Struthio camelus: one gene and its partner. Each later gene encodes a partner of the first gene's protein in a complex. Links are inferred from orthologs where the notes say so. Each region holds a gene or a part of one and is shown on either strand. Other genes may lie near its edges.

Region 1 (8,047 bases):
TAGTATGTACAAGCATGGATACTCACCTTTTCTTGCCTTTTCAATTGATTTCAGCTTCTCCTTTGCTTGATAAACAGCTGTTGCCTAGTTGTAAAAAACAAAAAAAAAAACCCAACCTCCAATGAATCATTCATTTGTAAACTTACGCATAAAAATGGCTCTGTGAATAGATCCTTGCATTTAATTGCATTTTGATGGATAAACCATTCAGGGAACATTTTCAAAATATATAAAAGTAAACTAGCTTTGGAAGAAAATTAACATTGTAAAACAAAACTGAATGCCCCGATAACTAAAAAGCGTTTGCCTACTGAAAAGAAAAACTCCGCTAAGCGGTTGTGAAGTTTTAAATATTGAATCTTTTCAAACTAACACAACACTGTTTTCTCCAGAACCACCTTTTTCAGAAGTAGGTGCTTAAAAGCAAGCACAGCACCTTTGAACTTACCAGTATGTGCTCTGCTTCTTTTAGTTGCTTCTGCAGCTGCTGAATATCACTATCCCTCTTTTCTACTACCTTTTCTAAAAGCTGCATTTCATGATGAATTTTCCCCTGATCAACTGCCAGCTTCATTAGCTCTTGAAACTCTCCATCCCTCTGAATCAGCAGCTCCAGGATCTGTCAGACAAGAGTTTCATAGAACTTTTAATTTAGTCAGAGTAACAGCATACCCACAATTATGCAGCAAGGAAGAACAACTGATATCTACATGAGTATTTCTGTTTGCATGCCAAATGAAACAAACTTCTCGCTCTGTTTGCAGAAACAACCTATGAAGCATGCAGTAAAGAAAATAAACAAAAAAGCACCACAAGGACCAGGAATATCATTTTAGTGTGGCCAAAAACTCATCATCATCATTAGTCTAAACATACGCAGGGACAAGAGAGGAAAAAAAAAAGAAAGAAGTAAAGTAGAACATCTGACCACACAAAGAAATACTGTTAAGAAAGTTAGTTTACCTGGCTTTCTTCTCCTGGTTGCGGAAGCTTCTGGTTTCTTGAAATTGCCAGTATTTCAATTAGTTCTCTGAAAAGAAAACTGTGTATTTATACAACTTGCTATGCTATTTTTTCTATGCTATTTACAAATCAGACTAAGTCATCCCAAAATTTTCAGAGTACTGACAGCATTACAAAAGTACTCACATGCTTGAGCATTTTGTAGTTTTGTAGCATAGCTGTGTCAGGGATTTCTCAACTTAGAAAGAAAAAAATGTGCTCAAATCATGAGACTATTCACATAATTATTTTTTCTCCTTTGAGCTCACAAAGCGAGCACAAATGCACATGAGCAAGAAACGTGCCAAACTGAAAGAGACATAAATAGAAGCTGGGAGAAGAAAAAAGACAATGAAATACATTCGTGCTCTAGTTTTATCACCCTTGTTTATTGCAAGAGAACATGAAAGTATAAGTTGTTATCATTATTTTACTTCTCTACTTTTTCTCTGTTTTTACAACAGAGCAAGTTTCACACTTGGGTTTAGAGCAATTAAACCTACGCTTTCAAACATTTAAAGAGTTTGTTGTGAAACTATTATTATTATAAAAACAAGTATTCTCACAATGGTATATCAGCTGTATATCAAATACATACAAAAATATGAATAAACTAATAATATTCTGGGACTAGGTTAGAAGGGCATCTCAACTAAACCTCTTGATTGTGCCTCCATATACCCGTTTACTTTGCCACCATTATGAAAACCTGTCAGTAACCTCTAAAGGGACTTGCTAAACAACAACACCATGATGCAAAAAGGCACTTGGTGTAAATGGGGCAAATATGTTTGGCTTCTAATGACATGGGCTGAAGTTCAGTGCTGTGCATGTATAAGTTTATCTGAAGCAGGCTCCTTTGCTCCTACCACCAAGGCAATATCATGACTGTGAAAGGTCTAATGCCATGGTGCTTCAACACTTTGCTGATTAACAGGAAGATTCACAAAAATATTGCTGAGGGATGCTCTGGATTCATTATGATGGAATCTTAGTCCCCCTAAAAATCAGTAAACATTTAGATAAAGAGCAAAATGTTTTTTCCTAAAACAGCAGATGTTCTCCCCCATTCCAGCAACCCAAAAGTCACAACAAAATCTAAAACTGAAAATAAAACCTAACTAGAAAGAAGAAGAGCAACTGGACAGTATACTGTCCTTGTCCTACCTGGGGTAATCAGAAAGAGCGAACCAGCCACATGAACACTTTAGATTGCTCCCTGTGAAAAAGTTTTCCTAAGCTCCTGCTCTCCTTGCGAGGAAGAAGATAATTAGCAACCAGTTTCACTGCACTGCTAGCTGGGACTCCCACAACATGGTGGACAGCTTGGATGGGGAGCTGCAGTCCAGCCTGAAGAGCGCGGGCTACCTACTTGAGCATTTGCATCACTCCAAGGACACGCTTTACAGCCTGCTTTGACAGAGTTGAACTGGTAATGACCAGAACGGCTTAAGTCGTGCAATACCATCTACAGAGCTCTGACATATGCGCCGTTTTTCAGTGAATAATAAAACGCTTCAAACCTCTTCTGTGAAGGGGGGGTGGGGAGACTGTCTCAACAGGAAACGCAGGTGACAACCAAGAAAGGAAGGCAAGCCGAAGAATAAGGAAGCTGCCCGTTCTGCTCTGAGAACACGGAATACGAGGAAGCGTCTCCGGCGGCGCCCCGGCGGGGCAGGGGCCCTGCAGCAGACGCAGCACGCACCCCGCTGCCCCAGGAGCCGGCCTGGAGGCGGTGCCGGGGCGGCGGCAGCAGGAAAACGCAGGGCCCCGTGCCGCCCCGGCGTTGGGGTCGGGCTGATCTCCCCCCTCCCGGGCCCCCTCAGCCCCCGGCGGCACCCGCCCCGGCTTCGGCTCGCCGGCGCCGTCCGAGGCTCCGCGCCCGTACAGCGCCGAGCACCCTCTGGCCCATCGGCCGCCGCCCGAGCTTGGCGCCGTCTCAGCCGGCGCGCGGCGGGAGCGCGGTACCTGGCCAGGAGCTCGAGATCCTCCAGCGCCGCCAGGAGCCGGTCCCGGGTGCTGCTTCGGTCCCCGCCTCCCCCGGCCGTCGCCGCCGCCATCATGATCCCGGCTGCGGACCCGAGCGAGAACCGGCGGCGGCACCAGGCCCGCGCTAGGCGAGGCGGCAGCGCCCCCCTCAGCGGAGGTGCGAACTGCAGCCGCCCCACCCCCACCGCCTCCCCGGCCAGCGCATGCGCAGTGCGGGGAAGGGTGGGGAGGGCGGTTCCTTCCCCCTCCCCCTCCTCCCCCAAGCGCGGCGGGCGGGGCGGGGCTGAGGGGTGGGTAACGGCTGCCGTGAGGCGAGGCGGGAGGGCGGCGCTGGCGCTGAGGCGGGCGCTGAGGAAGGGCCGGGAGGGGGGAAGGAGTTCAGCGGGGCTGGCTGGGAAGGGCGTGTGGGTGTGAAGGAGAGGTGGTCTCGTCTCCCCCGTCTGCCCCCGAGGCAGTGTTTGTAAACGACCCCCTGCTGGAGCTGGGCCGTTACTCAAGGGTCAGGACTTGTTGTTTTACATGCGTTTCCAGTCCCCGGGTTTTGACCGAAGAGCCTCTCGGTGAGACTCAGATGTACCCTGCAGACGGGGAAAACGAACCCAGAGAGAGGGCTTGCCATTGAACAGCGTCATAACTTTGTTAACTCTATGCTCTCTGACACCCAAAAATCCCTTAGGTGCTTTTTTTAGTTGGAGGCAGGAATCGCGTTTTCCTAATGACTTAAGAAAACTAAGTGATAACGAAAACGTAACAAAACCCTAAGCTTTAAATCGGGCAGAACCCTGAGCTCCTACCTGGGTTTTGTGTCAGGCAAGCAACGAGGCCTCACAATGGCCAACCAGAAGCATGACTTGCATGTGCAGACCTCTAGGTGCAACCTAAAGGTGGCTTTGCATGAATTACAGGGTGCTGCATGCAGCGATCAGCTGGTGGGGCAGTTAACAGATGCAAACCCTGCCCTTGAACCTGCAGACAATCGAGCTATATTTTAAAAATACCATTTATTTTTAAATGTTGCTGTATATGGTCTGATAACTGCAAACCGACCCCTAGCTCTGGGTGGGGTCACAGTGAAGCCAGTGGAATTTCTGAAATTCATGAAACTGGCAGTAATGTGAAGAGATAGAGGCTGAAGCTAAGGTGGAGGGCAAGATCGGAGAGCACAGAGAGAAAGCTAATCAGGGACCGAGGTTTATAATTCTGTGAGCACTTCCACTGAAAAACGTGGAGTCCCCAGACTCCGCCATCTTCTGTTGTCAGCAGGCAGCTGCAAAAACCCCTAGCAAACAGTGATTCTCATCACTCTTGATTAGAGAAAGTAGTAGATAGATGATAACATCTCTGACTGCTCTGGTGTTTACTCTGATTATCTTTTTACCTACTGCAATAAGTTTGTCCCTGAGAAATTTACTTATTAAAAAAAAAAAAGGAAAGGCAAGATGCTCGTTAATCAATGATTCTTTGAATTGTGGTTTAAGAAATCAATTGAACATTACGGGATTTGTAATAAAGTAATGAGATTTGGCAACCCCAAGAAGAAGAAAAGTCTGCCAACAGGAGTTTCTTAAAATTCATTTACAGTATACAACAGCATTCAAAGTTCCAATCTGTAGATAGTTTGGGAACTCTCTTTAAACTATGGAGCAGAGAAAATCTCATCAAATAGTTCTACACTTTTTTGCTTGCCCTTTTTTTTTTTTCAAAAATACAGTATTATTTCCCTGATTTTGTTCAAGAAAAGATGTAATCAGTGAAGCTGTCTGGTTGTGCCTCCAATTCACTGATTTGTTACAATGTCTCCATGGGTGTGTAAACAGAAATAACAACTTTGGAAAATAAAGCAATCCTCTAGAGTTGAAAATAAAACAATCCCTCTGCTGAATTATTTTCTTCCCTCACATTCATTTTTTAACATCTGAATTGGTCAGAAGTATTGGAGTACTTCTAAAATATTTCAGGGCTGTACTACTAGTTTCACTAGTTAAAAATTTATGGCATCAGCGGGATACCCAAACTTAACAGCCCAAAGGGTAAATATCGGTTGTAGGAGGTTGCTGGAGGCTGATCTTTGCCTCCCACTCCTTATGTCCAAGGAGCTGCTCTCTCGTTCCTTTTGACAACAGTGCTTTTCCCACCCAACCATGCCAATACCCCACAATCTTTCAGTGCAGCAGCTGCCCTCTTCTTTCCCCTTCACAAACTGCTGACCTTCATCTATGCAGCATGGACATCTGACTGCTTCTTATAAAGTCTGGAGTCCATCCCCACTCATTCCCCTGGAGATGCAGCAGTGGCTGTGAAGTGCAGGCCCCTTGGCAGAGACTTATTTGTCCAAATTGATGCTCCTACTTCTGTGTAGGAGGATAGGATGAGCCTCAAGGCCTCAGGGAATGCCTGGCTGTGCAGAGACACAGAAAATCCTTCAGACTATGTCGGAGCGGTCGTCTCCTTTAGGACTAAGGGAGAGGCTGGGTCAAATAGGCTTGTGCCCCAAACTTGGCTCATGGGCCCATTGGGGTAAGATTGAGTGGCTGATTTGCTGAATTGACTTTTGAAACACTTACCCGGACAAAGCAACAGAACCTCTGTTTCCTCGGTTCTTCAGTGCTTTTGGTTTTCTTTCCCCTGGGTAAACTTTGTCATAGATGGGTTGGTTTTGAGCCAGATATACGCCTTAAAAGCCTATGCCCTTCCTGAATAACTAAGCATTGTTGCCTAATTTGCTTTTAGTAGTCTGAGAACATTTTAAGTTGTGCAGCCGTGACTATATCTTTCCATTCACAGTGAGATTATGAGACGTTTCAGATTCTCTTTGATTTCAGATTGTCTTTTTAATGGCACATTGATCACAGTATTAAGAATCTGTTAGCACAAGCAAAAATAGCTTGCTTCATCCTGCTCAACTGAGTTTTATCTGTTCTAGAATCAACCTTTCGGTGATGATCTGCTGAGCAAACTGATTTCTACAGCTGCAGATCTATGAAGAGCTGATCTGATCTAAGAGTTCACCAGCTCTGAAAAGCAGATATGTTGCTCACTCCTCATCTCCCAATCGCAGATGGTTGCCCTCCCTTACATCCTTCATCATCATATGCTTCCATGAGCTACTTAATAACAAGACAGAAAAATACCTAATGTTTTTGTTGGGTTCATTTCCTTCTGGGTTAATGAGTGAAATCTGATCGTGGAGGGTCTTAACAGTCAGGAGCAGAGAGGAGAAGAGGAAGAGGGGGTGTTCCCCACATAAGTGTTAGGTCACCTAACCTCAACTTGTGGAACCATACCTTCTGAGTACAGTTTTAGGGTGCACCTAATACAGTATGACTGGAGGCTAATGCTGAAAAGTGCAGTCTTCTCCATCTCTCTTCAGCCATGTATTCTGTCTTCCTCCCTCTTACATGAGATCCTGTACAAGTGAGACTGCGGAATGAAACAGCTGGGCAAACCAGTTCAATGGAAAATGCTTCATATTTTTTGGTGGATTTGTCTTCTGTCAGATGAGCTCATTGGAGCAACTGACTTCAAGGCTAACCATCGCTAGATCACTAGACACAAGGGAATGTGTGGCCAGAGGAAGGAAAGCAGGATGCTACTCTTATTTCTAGTTAAGTGAAATTCAAGCGTAGGATTCATCTGATGCAAAGCCTTTTTTTTTCAGGCTACCATTGGGATTTCCTAATTCCTCATCTTATTACCTTAGCTAATCATGAAGTAGAAGTTTGTCTTAAAACTTAGATGTTGAACCACAGAGAACTTCAGAGCAGATATATGTTTTAATTTCAGTCTGCGTCTTTTCCAGGCCACTGTGCTCTTCATCTAGCTTGTTATTTATATGTTGCAGACACTAACCATCAAGTGTTTAGCTGGTAGATGTTTGGATACCACACCTTAAAATAACAATGGACTATTGAAGATAACTTAAATCCTGAAGGCCCTCAGGTGTCTGACCATGGATAATAAAACACTTCAAACAGTACAAGTAGAAAGGCAGTAGGGTAATCAAGGGAAGCAAGTAGGAAAAACAACAGAAAAAGTACTCCTATCCACTTCCCCTCGATAATGTAAAAATAAAGTCCTTTCTGTCAAATATCAACTGAAATAGAAATCAAACATCTTGAGCGCTGTTTGGAAGGATGCCACCGTTGTACTTTGGCCTGTGGAGAAGAGAATAATCATCCCGTGTTTGTCAAGCTGTCTTTACACCATTAATATTTTTAAATGCCTCTGAAAAATCATCTGTATCTTATTGCTATTTTAAAAGACATCTTTTTTTTTCCATGCTTACATATGTTGGGTAGCACTTTAGACCAGTGAGATGAGAGAAAAAAGAAAAAGGTGGTTTTGCTTAGCCGGTGTAATTCTAAAATAGGTTAAAGATGAGACAAAAATAGATAATACTATGAGCCAAAGCTTATTTTTTGTGGAAGTAGTGTGAAACACTACTGCATATGGTCAAAACCAGAGTTTGATATGCCATTCCAGAGTGTTCCAGCACAAAATTAGCTCCGCTTTGAGCTATATTAAACCTAAGTTACACTGATTTCTGCTGGTATAAATCTAGGCACAGAGCCCTCAAGACAGGAAGTCACCCAGGCAGAAAGCTGCCGCAACTTTCAGTCTGCTGGAGGGCTTGTTGGGACCAGTGCTGCCTCTGGAGTAGGAGGTGTTGAGTGGGAGAGAGAAAGAACCAGAATTGGCCCTGGATGGTGATTAAAAAAAAAAAAAAGTCCTTATGACAAGGGAGAGCTTTTTTTGCCTGGCCACTAGAGATGTTGGCAATTCTGCCAAGAATTCCCAGGAGTAGGGGAAGATATAGGGGCAAACTAAATGTGAGATCTTTTCCCTCGCTAAGCCAAAAGTTAATGCTGACTATTTCATGAAAAAAACCATCCAATTAGGGATAGTGAGACTCCTGGGGTAGGCCCCCAACACATATTAATTTTGAGTCTTCATTAAGTTAAACTTGTCTATTTGGAAAAAATCTTATTTTCCTTGCAGCTTCTGCTATAGCCTGTTTACCAAACACTACTGAGACACCCACACAAGCTTCTATAGA
Region 2 (7,768 bases), on another chromosome or scaffold:
TTTCCTTTTTAAGCCTCAGGTGCTCGAGCTCCTCTCCCACCTGGGGAGGAGGAGGAGGATGAGGACGGGCTGAGGCTGCTGCCTACTGCGCTGCTCTCCCAAGCGAAGGGTGAGCTCACGCGCCGGGCAGGCCCGCGGGGCGCCAGGCTCGCGCAGAGGCCAGGGCCCTGGACAGAAACCCTTGTGCTCACCAGCCTGGCCGCGCTCATGGTTTTAGCTGTTTTTTTTTTTTTTAAATGTTTCCCCAGGTTTTTTTTTTTTCCTTTTAGTCTTGTTTTGTCAGGTCCGTTAAGAGTTTTCCTCGCTGTCACACGGTTGTTTTTAATTTCCGTTCGGGGAAAGAGGAAGGCCAGCGGGGCACAGCCCCGTAAAGCAATATTTTTCTCATCCCATGCCAAAAAAAAGCAGCCGAGGAGTCCAGCGCTCCCCCATCACCTCCCCCCCCCCCCAAAGGGCTACCCAACTTGTGCAGGTGCAGTGAAACTTTAGGCACTACTCGACTCTTTCTCTACGGCAATATGTCTCCTGTGGCCTCTGCAGAGCCATTGGATTTTTTTTTTTTTTTAATTAGCCATTTTAAAATGAGGAATAAAAGGAGATTTAATGAGCCATCGCAGGAGCCACGCGTGTGCTTTGTTTAGCATCCAGGGATAGAGGGGCCCCTCCTGCGGCTCACCTTTCCCTCCCACCGCGCAAGGGGGAGAGAAAGCTGGGCCGCAGCAGAGCAGCGAGGGGCCCCCAAGCCCAGCAGCGCTAAGGTGTAGTGCCTCCGGGCCGGGCCGCCCTCACCGTAGGGATTACCCCGATTTGAGGACGGGCGCCCGTGGGCAAACTCCGCTCCCGCCACAGGTCAGCGTTTTGTCAAGGGGCCGAGTCGGGCTTCTCGGGTGTCCGACGTAAGCGGCTTCCAGGGCACAGTCGCGCAGGAGCCTGAGCCGCTTCGGGGACCGAAGGGACGCCCTACGGCCGCTCCTCGGCCGCTGTCGCAGCTGGCCGGCGCTTCCAGCGCTGCGACACCTGCCCTGGGGCTCGCTGCCGGCCTCGGCACCTCGCCGGGGTCGCCGCTGTCCTCAGCGAAGCGCCGCTCAGCGGAGTGGAGGGGTTCTGTATTCAGCTGAGCAGCCGCAGCCAAGGTAGGACCCCTCTTTCCCGGCAGTCAGATCCTGCCCCGGGCTCCCCCCTCCCCCTTCTGCCTCAGTTTCCCCCCCACGCCTGCTCCCTAAGGCAGCACCGCTCACTCACGCCCCACGTGTCCGCTCCGCGCCCTGGCACAAGGGCCGACGGTGGCAGCAGCCACAGTCACCAGCCCCTCCTCGGAGCAGAGCCTTTTTAATTAAAAAGTGAATAAAAAAAGAGAGCCCGATGCACCGCGTTGTTTTGGTATAAAAGGCCACAGGCAGCAACTCCCCACAGCGGTTCCAGCGGAGTCCGTGACTCCTGCCCTCCGCAGGAAGCGCACGTGGGTGCTTTGGGGACGTCCTCTCCGCCGGGGGGACAGGCCAGCCCGAGTGCCCCCACCGAGCCCGGCAGGAGGGACGAGTCCGTCTCGGGTGAGCTGAGGCCGTTCCCGTCGGCTGGGAGATCCACGGAGCGGACGCCTCACCGCAGGCTGCTGCTGCTGCTGGCCTGGGAGCTGCCCACGCCCGGGTGCTCCGGGCTGTGCCGGTTCTGGCAAGGAGGGACAGAGGCACACGCGTCCCCGTGAGCCCCGAGCGGAGCCCGCCCGCCACCGGCGCCCTCCCAGCGTCACTCAGCCCCCTCCAACCTCCTGCTGATCAGCGGCCCGGGGAAGGGCTGCTCGGCAGCTCCCGGGGCCAGGCAGCTCCTGGGGGGGCGCGCGGGGAGGGCCTGGGCCCACAGGGGCCGTGGGTGAGAGCCTGGCTCTCCCCACCTACCTTCTTTTTCTTCTTTTCCTTCTTCTTCCTCTTCCGCTCAGGATCCTCCTCTTTTTTCTTCTTTTTCTTCTTGTGGTCAGAGTCCGAGGGGGTTTCTGAAGGAAGGGAGAGAGCTGGGTCAGTGGGGTGCCCAGCGGGCTTCTCGTGGTGAGGGGTGCTGCGGGAGCCAGGCGCGTCCCTTACCCGGGGGGACGGGATCCTGGGTGCGGCTCTGCTTGTGCTTGTGCTTGTTCTTCTTCTTGGGCGGCTGGATGTGCATGAGCCGGCACTGCTCCGGCAGCTGCCCAGAGAGAGAGACAGAGAGGGCGAGGGGGCCCGTCAGCCCGCGCCAGGCCTCCCTCCCTCCCTCCCTCCGCGCTGCCTCTGGGCCTGGCAGCGCCGGGGCTCACCGGGCCGGCGTGGAGGCGGAAGCCGGTGAGCATGGTGCCGGTGAGGGGGGTGAAGGAGCTGCCGCAGATGGGGGGCTTCTCGATGAGGGAGCGCAGGCTGCTGTTGTCGTGGGAGCCGGGCAGGTCGATCATGCCCGGCAGGTCGGGGAGGAAGTTGCTGAGTTTCTCCTTCACCTTCTTGCCGCAGAACTTGTTGTAGGCGTGCTCCAGGTTGTAGTGCGTGATGAGGTTGGTGCTGCCCGTCAGCTCCGTGGTGCCTGCCCGCCCCCACCGCCGTCCATGTTGGCGGGAGCCAGGGCAAAGCACTATGGGATACCTCTGCGAGGCCCCAGTCCCGCGCCCTTCCCCTATTGGGTGGTGCGCCGCTCAGCCCCGCCCCTCCTCTTGCATCCCATTAGCCGGCCGGGCTGTCAGTTTGCGCCTCGTTCTCCCTCTCCCCCCCCCGCACCTTATTGGCCCACCGCGCTGTCCGTTACCCCCCTCCGGAAGCCCGGTGCCGCTTCCGCGCGGCCAATTGGCGGAGCGCCCCGCCTATCGCGGGCGGCGCCCGCCTCCCGCGCGTTGATTGGCGGAGCGCCCCGCGAGCCCCGCCCCGTACCTGGCAGCTCCCGCAGCAGGTAGAAGGGGCCGGCGGCGGCGGCCTTGCGGGCCGCGTCCTCGCCGGGCGGCGGCGCGGCGGCGGCGGGGGGCGGCCCGGCCCCGGGCCCCGCCGCCTTGGCCGGTCCGAAGCCCAGCGCGGCGGCGGCGGCGGCGGGCGGCGGCTCGGCCCCGCCGAAGAGCGCCGAGAAATTCTCCATGCTCCCAGCGTGCCCCGCGCCGGGGGCGGGCTGGCCGCACCGCCCCACCCTATGGGGGGAGAGCCGCGCCCCAGGCACTCGGCTTAGATTGGTTGAACGCTGCCTACGGCCCGCCCCTTCCCCCCCGTTGCTACGTGCGGCGCGGACCGAGTATCCTGATTGGCCGCCTCCCCGCCTTCTGCGGCTGGATGTCGGAAGAGCTTGGCAGCGGGGCCGCGCCATTGGCCAGCGGCGGAGGAGCCCCGCCCACCGCTGACGAGCAGGAGGCCGGCCCAATAAGAAGAGCCCCGCTCCGGCCGTACGGTGGCCGGCAGAGCTCGGCGGCGAGCGGAGGGAAGATGGCGGTGGTGGCGCCGCTGCTGGCGCTGCTGTACTCGATGCCGGCGCTGTGCCGCTGGCTGGCGCGGCCCTACTACCCGCTCTCGGCGCTGCTCGCCACCGCCTTCCTGCTCGTCCGCAAGCTGCCGCCGCTCTGCCGCGGCCTGCCCTCGCAGCGGGAGGACGGCAACCCCTGCGACTTTGACTGGGTGAGGCGGGCTGCCGCCCGCCCGAGCCCCGTGTCCCGCCTGTCCCCGACGTCCTTCCTGCCCCCGGGCCCGCTCTCCTCGCGGCTCCCCGGCGCTGCCGAGGGAGGGCCGGGCCTGGCGCCCGCCGGCAGTGCTCTGCCAGCCCCGGCCCGCCGCTTGGGGGCTCCCTGAGCGCCTCGGGGACGGCGGCCCCCTTTCCTGGCTGTGCTCGCAGGCCGCCTCTCGGTGCTCGGGAGGGAGAGGAGCTGAGGGATGGCACGGGGGAGCAGCGGTGGCGGGGGGCACAGCCGCCAGGTCCCTGTGGCAGGCTGGGCTGGGAGCGCCCTGGCTCTGGGCGGGCGGTAGGGCCGCAGGGTCTGGTGGGTGCCTCCTGCTCACCTCCTCTCTCCTGTGCCCAGCGGGAGGTGGAGATCCTCATGTTCCTCAGTGCCATCGTGATGATGAAGAACCGCCGCTCCAGTGAGTCGGGGCCTGCGTTGTTGGGTGGGCGCGGGGGGCTGCGGGGCAGGGCCTGCTTGTGGACCATCCCCTGCAGAGCTGGATGGAGTAGGAGCCAGAGGAAGGGGGGGAGTTCGGGGAGTGGCGGCTGAGAGGGGATGGGGGAATCTGGCCCTGGCTCTCACCCCTCTCCCCCAGTCACTGTGGAGCAGCACATCGGCAACATCTTCATGTTCAGCAAAGTGGCCAACGCCATCCTCTTCTTCCGTCTCGACATCCGCATGGGCCTGCTCTACCTCACGCTGTGCATAGGTGAGACCCGCGGGGATGGGGGCACCAGGGGCCGCAGCGGTGCCCCCCGGCTCCGCTTGCCCCGAGCACAGGGTGTCCATAGCGCTCCTCCGTACAGGCCCAGAGGGGTAGTCCGGGGAAAGAGGAACCTCATCCTGAACCGAGCCTGGCTCTCTTGGCCGCTTTCGGGGCGGGGGGCAACGGGTGTGTGGGTGAGGGTAAGGGCCTCTTCCCTGCGGGAACAGGCCCGTCCAGGCAGCGGGTTCACGGGCGCTGTCGTTACAGTGTTCCTGATGACCTGCAAGCCGCCCCTCTACATGGGTCCCGAGTACATCAAGTATTTCAACGACAAGACCATAGACGTGAGTATGTCCTCTGCGGGCCGGGCCGGGGCACGGCGGCGCCGGAGGGGGCGCTGCGCCCCGCCGCGCCCCGCCAAGCCGTGACCCCGTGCGGCAGGAGGAGCTGGAACGAGACAAGCGGGTGACCTGGATCATCGAGTTCTTCGCCAACTGGTCCAGCGAGTGCCAGTCCTTCGCCCCCATCTTCGCCGACCTCTCTCTCAAGTGAGCGGCGCCCACCAGGGTTTGGGGCGGGGGGGAGACACAGTCATGCTCGGCGCTCTCAGCTGCGTCTCTCCGCCAGGTACAACTGCTCGGGGCTGCACTTCGGGAAGGTGGATGTGGGCCGGTACACGGACGTCAGCACCAGGTCTGCGGGGACGGGGGAAGGGGACGGCCCCCATCAGCAGAGCCCCTATCCGGGCAGAAGGGGGAACGTCTGGGGGGCCCCCGGGCCCCTGCAGCTCCCGCAGGCTCACCGTCCGCCTCCCGCAGGTATAAAGTCAGCACCTCGCCCCTCACCAAGCAGCTGCCCACCCTCATCCTCTTCCAGGGCGGGACGGAGACCATGCGTCGCCCACAGATCGATAAGAAAGGTCGAGCCGTGTCCTGGACCTTCTCAGAGGTGGGTGGAGACCTTCCAGCCCTTGGCGTCCTCCAGCCTCTGGGGCACGACGCGGTTCAGCACCCGGCCCCGGAGGTGGCTGGTGGCTCCCAGCACTGCGGGAAGGGCACTCGGGGCTGTGGGGGGGGGGGGGGGGGGAGGAAGGTGTGGGAGATGCTGGCGGGTGCTGACACCCGGCCCATCTGGGCTGCAGGAGAACGTGATCAGGGAGTTCAACCTCAACGAGCTCTACCACAAAGCCAAGAAGCAGTCGAAGCCGCGGGATGAGGGGCCCGAGGAGGCGCCCGAGGCGCAGGCGGCCGCCGGCCTGGCCAACGGGGAGACCAAGAAGGACAAGTAGAAGCTGACAACGCTGCTGTTGCCCCCCCCCCTCACCCCCCAAGTTGCAGGAGGGACCTGCACCCCGCGCCACCCAGGGGGTCACCGCGGCCGCCCGGTGCAGTGGGGTGTGGGGCCCGGTACGAGGCGCCCCGGCCCCGTGCCCGCGGGGGCTGGGAGGCGGCGGGGCAGAGCCGCCCCGCACCGGTGAACGCTCATCCTCATGGCTGTCAATAAACGCCCGCAGCGCCCCGCCGTGTCCCTGTGCTGCGCGGCGGCGGCGGCGGCGGCGGCGGCGGCGGCGGCGGCGGCGGGAGGGGACCGCTCCCCGGTGTGCGTGGGGGGGGGGGGAAATCACGTGGGCGCTGAGGGGCTTGGCCACGCCGCGGCTGCCGCGTCGTGATTGGCTGCGCCTTCCGCGCTGGCTACATAACCGCGGGAAGGGGGCGGGGGGAGCGGGCGGAACCACTGTGCCCCATGGGGGGGGGTTGCTCCAACCCCCCCCCAAATTCCCCCCCTCGCCCCGGGGTGCCCGCGGGCGGTGAAGCGGGCGAGCGGTGACGGAGTGTCCGGCCGCCGTGCGGCGGGGGGGGCCGCGGCGGCCCGCTCGCACCGGCGGGCTGCGCCGCGCCGCTCTGCCCCGTGTTCCCCCCGCCGGCGGCGGTGCCGGTGGCTCAGCCCGCAGCGGTTCCCCGCGCCCCGCCACGTGCCCGGCCCGGCTCGGCGCGGCGCAGAGCAGCGCGGCAGGTAGCGGCGGCTCCGCGGCTCTCCCCTCCCCGCCCCCGGGGGGTCCCCGGCCTTCCTCGGGTGGGGGGGAACCTCGCCCCCCCCCCCCCCCCCAGCCGCGGCCCGCTCCCGGGGCTCCTCCTCCCTTGCTATCCGCCCGGCGGGGCCCCCCCGGCGCTCAGCCCGCCCCGGCTCTCCCCAGCATGGCTCCCCGGCGCAAGAAGCGCGGCGCCCCGGAGGCGACCGAGGTCCGGGCAGAGGAGGAAGCGGATGCGCCGCAGAAGCGGGTCCGGGGCGGCCCCGGGGGGAGCGGCCCCCGCGTGGTCATCGAGCACTGGTGAGCGCTGCGCCCAGGCCGCCGGGGCTGCTGGGCGGGGGGGGGGTGCGGGGCGAGGGGAGGGGGGCTGCTGGATGGGGGCTGCTGGGCGAGGGGAGGGGGGCTGGATGGGGGCTGCTGCGCGAGGGGGGTGTGCTGGATGGGGGCTGCTGCGCGAGGGGAGGGGGGCTGCTGGGTGGGGGGGGTGTGCTGGATGGGGGCTGCTGGGCGAGGGGAGGGGGGCTGCTGGGTGGGGGGGCTGCTGGGCGAGGGGGGTGTGCTGGATGGGGGCTGCTGGGCGAGGGGGGTGTGCTGGATGGGGGCTGCTGCGCGAGGGGAGGGGGGCTGCTGGGTGGGGGGGGTGTGCTGGATGGGGGCTGCTGGGTGAGGGGGGTGTGCTGGATGGGGGCTGCTGGGTGGAGGGGGTGTGCTGGATGGGGGCTGCTGGGCGAGGGGAGGGGGGCTGCTGGGTGGAGGGGGTGTGCTGGATGGGGGCTGCTGGGCGAGGGGGGTGTGCTGGATGGGGGCTGCTGGGCGAGGGGAGGGGGGCTGCTGGGTGGAGGGGGTGTGCTGGATGGGGGCTGCTGGGTGAGGGGGGTGTGCTGGATAGGGGCTGCTGGGCGAGGGGAGGGGGGCTGCTGGGTGGAGGGGGTGTGCTGGATGGGGGCTGCTGGGTGAGGGGAGGGGGGCTGCTGGGTGGGGGGGCTGCTGGGCGAGGGGGGTGTGCTGGATGGGGGCTGCTGGGCGAGGGGGGTGTGCTGGATGGGGGCTGCTGGGCGAGGGGAGGGGGGCTGCTGGGTGGGGGGGGTGTGCTGGATGGGGGCTGCTGGGCGAGGGGAGGGGGGCTGCTGGGTGGAGGGGGTGTGCTGGATGGGGGCTGCTGGGCGAGGGGGGTGTGCTGGATGGGGGCTGCTGGGCGAGGGGAGGGGGGCTGCTGGGTGGGGGGGGTGTGCTGGATGGGGGCTGCTGGGCGAGGGGAGGGGGGCTGCTGGGTGGAGGGGGTGTGCTGGATGGGGGCTGCTGGGTGAGGGGGGTGTGCTGGATGGGGGCTGCTGGGCGAGGGGAGGGGGGATGCTGGGTGCGGGGGGTGTGCTGGATGGGGGCT

Evidence for each region.
Region 2: MED4 (region 1) and MED19 share a complex: the UniProt entries of both Homo sapiens proteins name them as parts of the mediator complex. The link is inferred for Struthio camelus from reciprocal best matches to the Homo sapiens genes MED4 and MED19.

What each region holds. Positions count from the first base shown.
Region 1 is NC_090942.1:192,113,950-192,121,996, forward strand, and holds the start of MED4 (mediator of RNA polymerase II transcription subunit 4), read right to left. Parts: upstream 3,200-8,047; 5' UTR 3,066-3,199; coding exon 2,971-3,065; intron 1,031-2,970; coding exon 964-1,030; intron 620-963; coding exon 449-619; intron 85-448; coding exon 27-84; intron 1-26. UniProt on the Homo sapiens protein: Component of the Mediator complex, a coactivator involved in the regulated transcription of nearly all RNA polymerase II-dependent genes.
Region 2 is NC_090946.1:7,468,712-7,476,479, reverse strand, and holds MED19 (mediator of RNA polymerase II transcription subunit 19), read right to left. Parts: upstream 3,101-7,768; 5' UTR 3,082-3,100; coding exon 2,883-3,081; intron 2,542-2,882; coding exon 2,285-2,541; intron 2,176-2,284; coding exon 2,079-2,175; intron 1,991-2,078; coding exon 1,896-1,990; intron 1,669-1,895; coding exon 1,600-1,668; 3' UTR 583-1,599; downstream 1-582. Other genes in the region: TMX2 (thioredoxin-related transmembrane protein 2), read left to right, coding at 3,270-3,608, 4,007-4,067, 4,245-4,358, 4,623-4,699, 4,797-4,903, 4,983-5,048, 5,174-5,303, 5,497-5,643. UniProt on the Homo sapiens protein: Component of the Mediator complex, a coactivator involved in the regulated transcription of nearly all RNA polymerase II-dependent genes.